2 linked regions of the Arabidopsis thaliana genome follow. The protein of the gene in region 1 interacts with the protein of each later gene in a pairwise test. Each region holds a gene or a part of one and is shown in the gene's direction. Other genes may lie near its edges.

The links. The genes of interacting proteins can lie anywhere in the genome.
Region 2: the proteins of AT4G07950 (region 1) and AT1G65000 interact in a two-hybrid assay, tested with the Arabidopsis thaliana proteins (one large-scale study listed by BioGRID).

Annotation. Positions count from the first base shown.
Region 1 is NC_003075.7:4,795,055-4,801,594, forward strand, and holds AT4G07950 (DNA-directed RNA polymerase, subunit M, archaeal), read left to right. Parts: upstream 1-2,786; 5' UTR 2,787-3,097; intron 3,098-3,832; 5' UTR 3,833-3,855; coding exon 3,856-4,051; intron 4,052-4,331; coding exon 4,332-4,456; 3' UTR 4,457-4,741; downstream 4,742-6,540.
Region 2 is NC_003070.9:24,143,579-24,150,071, forward strand, and holds AT1G65000 (F-box only protein), read left to right. Parts: upstream 1-3,346; 5' UTR 3,347-3,577; coding exon 3,578-3,708; intron 3,709-4,674; coding exon 4,675-4,795; 3' UTR 4,796-5,223; downstream 5,224-6,493. Other genes in the region: GTG1 (GPCR-type G protein 1), read right to left, coding at 343-463, 984-1,091, 1,477-1,577, 2,074-2,288; AT1G65010 (WEB family protein (DUF827)), read left to right, coding at 5,965-5,981, 6,326-6,493.

The DNA of each region.
Region 1 (6,540 bases):
TCTGGAAAATGGCTCCAAATTCTTTACTCTCTAAACTATTTATAAACATACTTACATACATCATTTTAATATGAAAGAAATTGCTCTAATTCTTGATCTAACCAAAGTTTTTTGGAATCTAATAGCAATAACAATCTCAATAAATGTCTTTTGCATTTCTAAACGGTTGCGTTTTTACCGCAACTTTTCATTAAAATATTTAAAATTTGTTTTACGGTCGTGTTTTTTTTGTCAAATATTTTTAAAATATTTATGGTTATGTTTTCGGACAGTTATACTTGTGTAACTATAGCCGTATCTATTTGATTCTGAATGGTTGTATCTTTTTATCGTAACTTTTTATTAATATTATTTGCGGTTGTATCTTTTTATCGTTATTTTTGTTAATTGCATATTTTGGTAAAACTTATGTAATAATTCGAATATTTGAATTATTATTATAATAATTTAATACATAAATATTAGGCTTGGGCGTTTGATTATGCTGTTCTAGCCTCTTAGGATCCATAAGGGAACCAAAAAAGTTTCGGTTCGGTTCAGATACTTAGAAAGAGAGCCGACAAATTACCAAATTCTAATAGATATCGGTTCGGTTTTGATCATTTTACTCAAAATACCAAAAAAAGAAACGAAAAATATCCGAAACTTTTTTACCAAAATAATAATGGTCCAAAATATTAAAAAATTAACAAAACTTTTTTGGGTGATAGGTTTTTTAAAAATGTATTGGCTTAGATGTAGTTTTGTATAGAGTTGACCAAATATTTTTTGGTTCGATTTGGGTATCCATAGATATCCGTTTCGGTTTGCGTATACCGTATATCCAATATCCAATATCCAATGGATAGTTTGACTGAGATTCAACAGGAGTATTTAGTGGTATCTTGATACGAACCGGAACCCTTTTTCAGCTTGGTTTGGTTTGGTTCTTTGGTTCCGGTTTTTATGCCTTGATCGTTCTAACTTCTATCGTTAAGTGAAGTAGTGGTTACTTTTCAAGAAATTTTACAAAGCCGAAATACTAAAAAATTTGGGGTCGATTGGTAACGACTGTTATATTTGGCTATACAGACTTTGACTATAGAAATTTTGGTTGTAGAGAATTTGGCTGTAAAGACTTTGACTTTAAAAACTTTGGCTGTTAAAGTATGATTGGAACTAAAAACTGTAGAAACTGTTACTATTATTTTTACAATATATATTTAGAATTGTGAATTATTTGAAAATGAGTTTTGTGATAATATACTAACAAAATTAATTTATTATAAGTTTTAGAAAAATACAAAATAAAATAAATAGATAAATATACTCAAATCTCAGTAAATAAAAAATATATTTAATCCATATAAAGATCTGATTAGGTGTTTTGGATCAATGAACTATCACTGTGATGCAATTGATGCAAAAAAATAATGAAAACTGGATCTCTAAAAAGTGAAAATAGAAAGATGATTATTAATTAATCAAAATATTTTTGAGTTAAATTACTTATTGATAGAGAAATTGTTTTTCATTTGTCATGGAGAAAACGAAAAGAAAAAAAAAAGAAAAACAGATTTTATTTTATTATTTGTTTTATAGCCCAAAAAGTCTCACATTGTGACTTTAAAAAACTGAACCTGAATTGAATAAAATAAAGCAGTTAATTTATTTTCCATCATCCGGGAGTGTGAGAGAGTTCTCTCTCTTATCTCTCTAATATCTTTTAGAGAGAGAGCCACATCCAAGTTTCTTTTGATGTTCCACAAAATCCATTAACGTCGTCCAGTTTCTTAACGCTGGCTTTGAGTCTGACATCCACCGGCTTCTCATGCAGTAGTTGGTCAGCTTCTTTCACGGCATCATCTGGCTTTGTTAGCAGAGATGTCCGATCCGCCGTCCGTCAATGCTTTTCACAGCGTTTGTCAGCTTGCTTCTGGCATCCGTCGGCTTCTTAAGCGACGGTTGGCTGGCTTTGGGGTTTTGTTTTTATTTTCGTTTTCTCTCGATTCATTTTGCTTTAGTTTGTTTGGATTTAGTTTGCGTTTTAATCCTTTGATTTGACTGCATAATTCTCTGATCCTTCTTTGTTTAAAGAGCTTAATTCGATTTTCAAGCTAATTTTCTCAATTTTAAAAATCGGATTTGAAGTTGCGGATTGGAGTTGTCGTTGGATTGATTTTAACGTAATTGAGGCTAATTTCTTCTTACCAAAGCATGTGAATCGTTTTATCTTTCCTGTTTTTTAGGTTTAATAATGGAAGCCTTGTCAGCTTATCTTTTAAGTCGATGATCCCGGAATTCATGAACTGCGTTTATCCATGGAAGATTTCAATTTTGCAGATCTAACGGCGAAGTTTGTTTGGGATTCTCTGAATTTGGTGGTGATGTTCATCGGATATTGTTGAGCCTTGATGTATTGATGCTCGTTACGACTTTTTCCGGTGACTAAGAATTCCTTTCGGTTGCAAACTATGTCGGCTGACCGACGATGACCTAAAACTCCGACGTCTCACGTGTTATCATCATTGTCTCCTTTCGTGACACGTGTATCTGTGCTGGACATGATCGACTCTTCCTTCAACCAGTGGTTTCATGAATTGTTGGGCTTATGTTTGTAATGGGCTTCTTTTTGCCGTCTCTGATACCGGGTTTGAATAACCGGTTTGAGCGTTTGTCTCTTTGTACTTGAAGTATTGTAAGATGTTATGCTTTTAATAAAAAAAACTTTTATGTGAAAAAAAAAAAAGAATAAAATAAACCAGTTACCTCAGATTCCTTGGATACTTCAAAAATGTCGGTTTGCCTATGAATCATAGACTTTAAAAGCTTTTAAATTAAATAAAGTCCTTAAAGTGGGATTAGTAAATTTTTGGCTTTTAATTTTTGTTCCAATCAACCCCTAAGACACTCAAGAAAAGAAGAAGAAGCATAAAAAGAGGCCTAAATGCCCAGAGAATTAAACAAATGGGCCTTAATATATAAACAAACATCAATCTCTCGCCGTCAAAGGTTACATCTATCGCCGTCAAAGGTTCCATCTATCGCCGCCGCTGAGACCGCCACTTTAGGCCGTCTCGTCCGCAATCTCCGTAACCAACACCACCCGCATCGCCTGGTAAGCTCGATTTTTTAATCATTTCGATCTCATATGATGTCGATCTGTTCAATCTTGCGAATTCGATCTTTATTTTGTTCTGAGATTTAGGGTTTCACGAATTTGTGTTCTAGGTTTTCTGGCTTAATCATTTTTATTGTTAACTGTTCTGATTGGTTCTTATGCTTTTGGTTACACAAAGATCTCGACTTTTTGTTGACTCTGTATGCAAATTTGTCAAAAGTCAAAACGTTGTTACAGAAACTCTCTTTCGTGCTTGTGTTTATGTATGAACAATAGCTTCGCTATTGGGTTTGTTGATTTCACCACACTTGATTAAATATGTATATTCTATTGAAAATGTGGTCAATCTTGGCAATAAAAATTGAATTGTTGGTTTAGAATGTGGTCGTCACTCGTGAGTATAGATTGGATTAGTGGATCGAATTATTAAGTCAGTGGATTGAATTGTGGTATTATTAAATTGCTAGATTTTGGAGTTGGTTTCATTATTAAACCAAAGTCTAATGAATGTAAAGTTGAATTTATGGAAAAGTATTGGTTATTTCCGGTTAAGAATGGATTACTTGAATTATAAGTTACTTCATGACCTGCCTTGCTATTAAAGTAAAAACTGGTTGTTACACGAACACAGTAGAACAATGTATTAAAAACAGCCCTTCCCTCTCTCTGTCTCTATATATCTGTCTATATCATAGTTTTATGAATTGATTTTTGTGGGGGATGATTTTGCAGCGAATTGATCGGTGAGGTGGAAGATGGAGTTTTGTCCCACATGTGGGAATCTGTTGCGCTACGAGGGAGGTGGGAGTTCGAGATTCTTCTGTTCCACATGTCCATACGTTGCCAATATCGAAAGACGGGTTGAGATAAAGAAGAAGCAACTTCTGGTTAAGAAATCTATAGAACCTGTTGTTACTAAAGATGATATACCCACAGCTGCTGAAACAGAAGGTATTTTCAGTCTCTGGTCTTCTCTTATTCTAAATTTAGAACTGTGATTAGTTAGTTAGTCCATGCTCTGTTGATTGGTCGACTAAATTCGTAAATACTTTAAAGTTGATTGGTGGAAATCAGTTACATAATTACTCATGTTATGGAAAGGGCAAAAACAATAATGCTAAAGTGGTATTACATCATTCATGGTATGCAAGTGCAAAAACACTTGGGGAAAGAGTAGAGTAGACTTTTTGTTCAATGACTTTCTCATGTTGGGATTGTTTTGTTTTAACAGCTCCATGTCCAAGGTGTGGCCACGACAAGGCGTACTTCAAATCAATGCAGATTCGTTCAGCAGATGAGCCAGAATCAAGATTTTATAGATGCTTGAAGTGCGAGTTCACTTGGCGTGAGGAATGAACCGATGATCATCACCTTCTCTGTACCCGCTAATTTTGCAATCTTCTTTGAGTTTGTTTTACCATTACAAAGTTTGTAGTTCCTCTATGTACTCTGGTTCTTTCTGTCTCAGAGCTCAAGAGTTTCTGTATTTAAAACAATCGATAAAATTTTGGAATATTGTGCAAAGTTTTAATTTTTGAGGTGAAGAATGTAAGCAAATTGATCTGTTTTGAGATTTTTAGTATCAAGACTGCGATGTATTTGTTATTGCATTGGTATTTGACTTCTTCCTCTTCCTCTGTTAACGTAACCTCCAGATTTCAATTTCTCACATTTCTTCGTCTTCTTAGCAAGAAGATGTCTAAGCAGAGGAAAAAAACTGTATTAGCCACCGTTTTTCGCAAGTCATGGTACCACTTAAGGCTCTCGGTGTGCCATCCCACTAGGTTCCCGACTAGCAACTAGTTCTGAATAGGCGAAGCTTTACGAGTGGCAGCTCCGGCAAGCTAAACGTATGGGACGAATAGCTAGCTCCACTATCGACTTTGGTCGTTCTTGATCCAGATGGCAAACGGATCGGGTATGGTGCTACTACTCTCAACGCCATTTATTCTCTCGCTCGCCATTATGAGAAATCGGGTGTTGATCCTGGTCCCGAGATACACATTGTGTTGACAGGTTAGATTATTCATACGATGGAAAGTATTCCTCACACTTCCTTATCTTGCAGCTCATGACCCTGATAGTCTTGTTCCTCTCCTTTTTGATCATATTCTTGCTACCGCTTCATGTGCAAGATAAGCTTTCAAAGACAACGGTGATTTCCTTTTTTAAGCTATGTAAAACAGACAAGGATGTGTGGATGCTGATTTTTGAGTTTCATTTGTGAAGGTGGATTATTTATTGGAGACGTCCTTCCTTGTTTTGATGCTTTTAAAATCACTCCCCTAAAGAGGCAGCTTCCATAGTTACTGTGCCTAACACTCTCGATATTGCCTCCAACCATGGTGTTATTGTCACATCCAAATCTGAGTCTCTTTCTGAAAGCTATACAATCAGTTTAGTCAATGATCTTCTAGAGAAGCCTATAGTAGAGAAGCTTGTCAAGAAAGATGCGATCTTACATGATGGACGGACACTCCTAATTAACACTTGGATAATATCTGGGGCAGAGCATGGTTAGACCTGATCGCTCTTGGATGCTTGTGCCAACCCATGATCTTAGAGCTTATTCCTAAAGAATGACATTGTAATTCACACATTACTCTTCTTGAAGTTGACATATTGTAAATGCAAAATATCAATGCCTTTAAAGAAAACAAAAACTAGTTAAAGAACTGCAAATATCACATGAAACGGAAACCATCAGTTTCTTTTCACATTTTTGTATCTCTTTTCTGTTTCATATTACACAACAATTCCCACAAGCTTTTTTGAGCTTTATTTTGAGTTCTTCATTATATATAATTACTAGATAAGGTCCGCCTATATAGGCGGGTGTATAGGCGGATGTAAGATAAAAATTTATTCAAATATTCATTAAGAATATTTAAATTTTAAATAGTAAATATTGATCCAGACATTTTTTCTAATATTTAATTTGGAAATATTTGTATTAAATAAAATTTTAATCATACACATTCAATTTTACTATACATTTTAATTATCTATTTCATCATAATAAATTATCTTGTAATTCTACACACTCCATCTTTCTTTTTATGGTAATGTGTAGGGGACAAAATCCTCGTATAATATATTCATAACATAAAAGTACATTCGGACACTTCATGGAAACGACATCCCATATGTATCCTCTAACAATATCATACTTACACCTGTGAGAAACATCAACTAAGTACAGACCAAGCGATAACTAAAACACATAATTTGCTAATCATTTCACTATTCATTCCTATACACATGAGTAACCCGGACTATCATGTCCTTATACACTCCATCTTATTGATGATATTTGAATTTTAAATAGGAACTCACATACTTTTTCAGTATTTAATTTAGTATTTCCTTAAACCAAATTTTAATTTTACAAATTCGATTTTACAATATAATTTAAATATCTATTTTACAAGAATAGAAAA
Region 2 (6,493 bases), on another chromosome or scaffold:
TCCCAACTGAACATCCAGCACCATTTGTTTCATTCAAGTTCAAAATGTGGAATATAAGTTCCTATTTTGTGGAGTTTCTTAGCATATTTGTCGCATTAAATCTGCATTTTTTCTTTCCTAAGCTTTCTTCTTTCATTCTACATTTTTATGCTTTCTCTCCGAAGGACATGCAGGTGGCACTATATATATTCAGTGCTAATTATGTATGCTTATCATGTAGCCCATTGAATGGTTCCCCTATAAGGAAACACTCTTATTGTTGGTTAAATATAAACTAGAAAAAGGAAATAATGAATAGAACACTATCTAGTAGCTTACGGAAATAGAGTTGAATATTAGTACCTAATGAAGAGGGATATATAGCTGTAGGGTAAATTTACAGCTCCAAATCCTGATAAGACAGCCATTAAGGTCACACCAATGACCCCAATTCTACTGACCAGCTGAGGCATGGTAAAAAACCCTTCAAAGAAATAGGAGCTTTAAGTCAACAACTTCAACAGACAATAAAATCCAAAAACCAAAACCCAGAAATGAGAATGCTTGGATGCAGAAGCTTGTGCTGATCAGAAGTAGACAAGAAAAGTATAAATAGTTAGTCATTTTGAGCTTTTTCTTTGAAGATATTTTTCAGCAAGGTAATGCTATACACTCTTATCAAGCTCTCATTATCGGTAATGCTATACACTCTTATCTAGCTCTCATTATCTTTCGTTGCAAACAACATCATACCCTCTAATCTAGATATTCAGTAGTCAGTATTATCAATATTGGTGCATATAACAATGGATAAATATGCCATATTCATCTATACAGAAATTAAATTAGGTGTAACACTGGTACCAAGCTTAGTTCTTAAAGTTTATAATTATCACTACTGCAAGGGATAAATGAACTTAGAAGAGGAAAATGAGTAGCAACTAGCAAGATAACGATGCGATGCTGGAAGGAAAGGAATGGTTACAGTAGTTTGAAATAAATACCTTTATCTGCTGAAGGCATAGGGAAATGAACTCCCATACGCCAGAATGCGTAAAGGAATGCTGACAAGAATAAGAAAGCCCCAACAGAGGCACGCTCCCTTCTTACACCTGAAATGTTATTTTAACTTGAAAAAATTACAGACAGTTCACACAAAATGCTGTAATATGCGGCAGCGAACAATAAAGTGATGCTTTCTCAAATTCATTTATCTCCATCTAATTGAACTCATGAGTGTTTATAAAAGAAGCAACAAAGCCAGAGATAAGGATCAAGATTTTTCAAGATATAAGATCAAAATGATGGGCCAAAGACTGTTTATACACAGCTGCACAGAAGTGTTCTCAAAGAAATCTCAGTTGAGTAGCAATTATATAACAAAAATAGTTTCAGGAGCTCCTAAGAAACTTGCAATGAATTAACCAATTATAGTGATTACCTTCTAAACAAGAAGTGATAAGAGCAAAGAAAATTCACATATGAAATAAGGCTTACCACTATTACGAAGCATCAAATAGCAATGGTAATACGGCAACATGAAAACCAGAAGAAGTATCAAACAAAAAAGATCCACCTTCCAGTTTATCATCCTTGCCCTGCAAAATCATCAAAAGATCGGTCCAAGGCTTAAAACTCTAAATTAATATTCCAACTAAACAATTGCTACATAATGCCATGAATTCCCCCTCCAATATAAGTATTACGTACAATGACAAACACCTCAAAAGCTCAATGATATAAGCATCTAGTATCAAGTATCAAATTTCCACATGACATAAAGGAATAAACAAGAGAAGCTAGCTACCACACAGTTTATATACTCGATTACATTACACATACACCAAAAAAATTGTCAAGTAAAAAAATTCTTAAGACAATAACTCCATCAATCTACACTCAATCTCAAAATCATTGCCAATTAGGTAAGAAGTCAACAAAATTAAGCAATTGCAAACAAAGGAGGACCAAGTAAGTAACACAATCTAGAAGACAACAAATAAGTAAAGTTTCCAAAAACCTCCAATGCCAGAAAACACCAAAACTAGCTAAATATCAAAAACTACAGAGTGGATTACTCGAGAAAAGACTTACTCTCTAGAGAGAACAGGTATGATCTCGAACAAAACGAGCTGCAATAGATTACAAGAGAAAGCGAAGACGACACTGAAAATGATTTGAACCAAAGCTCGTTTCTCTTCATACTCTTTGTATAATCTCCGATTAAGAAACCATAAACCTGCCCATCCTAAGAGACTTAGTGAAGCTATCACCACCGTGCCTTCGTATATCGCCCATCCGTAACTCATCGTCGCCAAATTCCAGATCTCTCTTACTTCTCGAGAAAAAACCTCAGATCTGCAAAAACCTCATGGCGATTCAACACCAGAGCTTCTGTTGTACGATTCGATTCGAATTTGATCATTTATGAAACAATTAAAAAAAAAGTATTTAAGAATACCTTATTTATTTTTGGTTAGGGTTTATTTGGTTTAAACTCTAATCAACAACAACCTCATCAACTTCATCATCACCACCACCACCATGCGACTCAACTCGAACTCGCAGAGAGGAAGGCGTTATTAAACGCTAACCAACCATTGAGCTACGGAGTAATGTGAAAGAAACTGCACAACAATAGTGTTTCTATCCTTTTTTTTTGTTTATAGGTTTTGGCGTCTAGTCTAGTGTTGATGATAATTTTAACTCCATTTTCCGACATGTTTTCTTATCTGGTCGATTGATTTTTTTGTTTTTCTTTCACTTTTACATATATACACGAAAAATGATCGATTCATTAAAATTGTTGTTTAGAAGGCTTGTCCAATCTTACACGTGTTACCATATATAAATTTGCGGGAAGTGGGAAGGGAAAGATCGGGATATCGATAGTTCATGATAAATCTTATAATTACGGGATCAAGATAAATATTTTTTTTATCATTAATAAAAAATTAATATTTGTGTACATTTTCTTATTGTTAGATAGAAAATTTAATATTATCATAAATGTAAAGAACTTGCTAATCAAGTTATGATTTTTGTATAAATAATCCTATTAGCTAATGAATAAATAGAGAAAACCTGTATTATTGCTAAAGTTTCCTCCAAACTTATCAGACACCAATCGATGATGTATAATATACCATTTTTCATAACGTGATTCTATTATTTTTACCATTCACAATATTTATCATACATTTATATTTGATTTTCATGTGTATGTTATATTTGATGCATGTGGAAAAAATAATTCAAAATTAAAAAAACTACAAAACGTTTTTCTTATTATATCACAATTATTTAACAAAAAAAAGTTTTGAGCTATTTTGTTTATAATGTTTTTATGCTTTTCAATCCTACATTTCACTATCAGAAAAATGAGGCCAAGTTATAAAAATAAAAATAAAAACTAAACCCAATAAGCCCATTAAGGCCCATAAGTCAATACAGCAAAAACAGCTCATCTTTGCTAAAACGTAGATTACTGATTTAATCTACCGGAATCGAAAGGCAATACCAAACTTCCGGTGAACCGGAATCGGATCCATTTGACTTGCCGTAGAAATTAGGAAATTGATTACAGTGTTCTTCGAGAATGGAGAAGAAGGAGATGGAGAAGTTGTGCCAAAGGTGCAAACAAAGCTACACAGATCTTTCAAACGAAACTTCCTCTTGCCGTTTTCATCCTTCCTTCTTCGTTTGTCGTCGTCACGATGACCAGAAAAGGTTATGTCTCCTACAAACCCTAAATCTATTCACTAATGAAGAATCTCACATCCCAAGCAGCTTGATTCGCTAATTTATAATGGCAAAGCACAAATTGTTGAGATGGGTTTTGAAAGCCATCCACTTTATTGTATTAAGGTTCTGGATCTATAGCTAATTTAGTTAGATACCTTAGATTCTTTGTAGCCAATAATTTTGAAGTGATAGATGATCATGATCTCAGTTTAATGGCTATTTGTGGGTCAAAGGTCATGTTTTGGTTGATTTGAAACTAGCTCTTAGCCTTCTTTGCAGATAATTAGCTACTGTTGTATTTGCCTTGCCCATTTCAAACTCTTTAGGCATAATCATGAAGCTGTTTAATGATTGTGGTCACTCTTAAACGTCGAATACTCTTAACCACTGAGGATAAAAAATTATCTCGACAAGTTTTCAAGCTGTCTAGTGGCCTACACTTTGTTCTGCTAGTTGAAAAAATGGTTTAGTCGACGGTTAATAGCATAAATAAAGAGTGGTGAAAAATACAGTTTAGAGATTTATCATCTGATTCTATGTTGCGTGTTTTATCTTGGTAATAAACTTTGGACTAGGAAGGAACGTAGGTGTCTCTGTTCCGTTATTGGCTCCTTTGGTTATTTACTTACTTCCTCTGTTTGTGATTCTCTCTGTTCCATGCATTGTAGTTACCCACATAGCATAGACTTAACTATCTTTTGTTGAGCTTTTATCGTTATGTGCAACGAATGAGTTTATTTTGGTGTTTATGGTTGTTGGTTTTGGCATTCATATTCTTGCTGGTACCTGATATTTGTTATTTCATTTTAATTTTAAGGTGTTTCGAAACTGAATATATATTTATTCCAAACCATGTTTAATCGACTTGAGTATGATGCATCTGTTTGATTTCTACTTTTTACTAAGAAGTGGAATTAACTAGAACTTGTTTTTTTTAATCAATAAATGAAGGTACTATGAATTGAAACCAGATGATCCACCGTATGCTGCCAAGTTCTATGATTGTTGCGGGGCAGAGGATCCTAATGCACCAGGTTGTGTCACAAACCCTCACATTTCATATGATGACTGATGTATGAGTGAGAGCTCTCATAAGCCTTTTTTTTTCCATAAAAACATCATGTAAATAATCTTAAATTATTGTAGCCTTCTTAGGAGTAAAAGACTTAGCTTGTGATCTCTCTGCTGGGTACTGTCTTGAACCACTTCTTGCATTGCACACAGCTACAGAGTGAGCTGTTGTGTTACAGCTTTTGTCGGTTTTGTGAATAGGAGTGTCAGAATCATTTGACGTGAGAAAATTCCGGAACGACTAACGATTTTATGTTTATTTGTAAGGAATGTTCTTGTTTCTATGGTTGCTTTAAAAAGAGTCAAAACTTTATATTCTTTTTATGAACACCAACAACAAAAATCTAAATCAGACATATAGGTTAATTAACTAATGCAAGTAAATGTGGAAAAATTTACAAAACAAATTTCAGAAGATCTAGAAGTAATCTTGAGACAGTACTTATGAGAAATAATCTTGCACTATCATCCCTCTTTTCTATGAACACCAAGATTTCTGATGCACTTATAATTTCTTATTTTGTGTCAACAATAGATATCCAAACAAAGGTAGAGAAAACATTTGAATGTGGACAAATTATAATTATATTAATAAATTGACTGTCTTTAAAGTTTAAACTAAGTTTAGCAGATCTCATTAAGAGAAAAAAAAAATCAACATGATTGAGTAGAGCACATGAAGTCCACATGACACAACTCCAAGATCTCAAACTCTCTGGTCTTAAATCAGATCGTTAGAGAGATTTATTCTCACCTCCATTATTAAATAAAGCCAACTTGTTTTGGTCCACTTCACTCACAGCTTTTATTATTCTTCTTTTTTCTTTTGTCATCATAATATATTACTCCCCAAAAAAAAAAAAAGCAAAAGCGGTGAGAAAGAAAGGAGAGAGAGAGGGTGACCACTATGGAGACAGCGCAACCCATTACTCATTATTAGTCTCTCCTACCATTCTTTTGCCTAAAGTTCAAGACTTTGTGTTCTTCTAACAAGACCCTTAATCGTAAGTTCAAGACTTTGTGCTGTTGTAGTCCTGTAAGAAGAAGAAGAAGAAGACCATGAAATCGATCTGACTTCTCGCAGCAATGCTGAGGATTTAGCTGCATTTATTACTCTTTTTTTGTCAATTCAATTTCTCTTTTCTTTGAAGCTCTTCTCTTGCAACAACAATGGCATCTAGAACCAAGTGAGTACTTTTAGTCTTTCTTCTACTTTCATTACAAGTGGATCTGATATGATTCTTGATTTTGACAGTTGGATCTGTTTCTTGTGATGAATTGTTGAGTTGATCATTTTAATCCTAATTTGATTGGAATGTAGTTGATTTAGTCTAGTAAATGTAACTGAATTGATTTGAGTCTAGTAAATGTTTTGACTTTTGGGAACTTAGTTGATTTAGTCAGGTGAAAAGTTATGATTTTTAGCAACTTAATTACTCTTGTTTTGGTAAAATAATGTTAGATCCACAAATTTAAAACTTTTTTTTATTGATGTTTAGTGTAACATTGTCTTGATTCATGTTTACTGTAGAACTGGTTTGATGGAGACTCCTCGTAGTAAACCATCACCACCACCTCCTAGACTGAGTAAACTCTCTGCTTCTAAATCCGATAGCAATTCGGCTTCCCCGGTGCCAAATACTCGTCTTTCGCTTGACCGTTCTCCTCCAACCGTTAACTCAAAGCCTACTCCTGACCG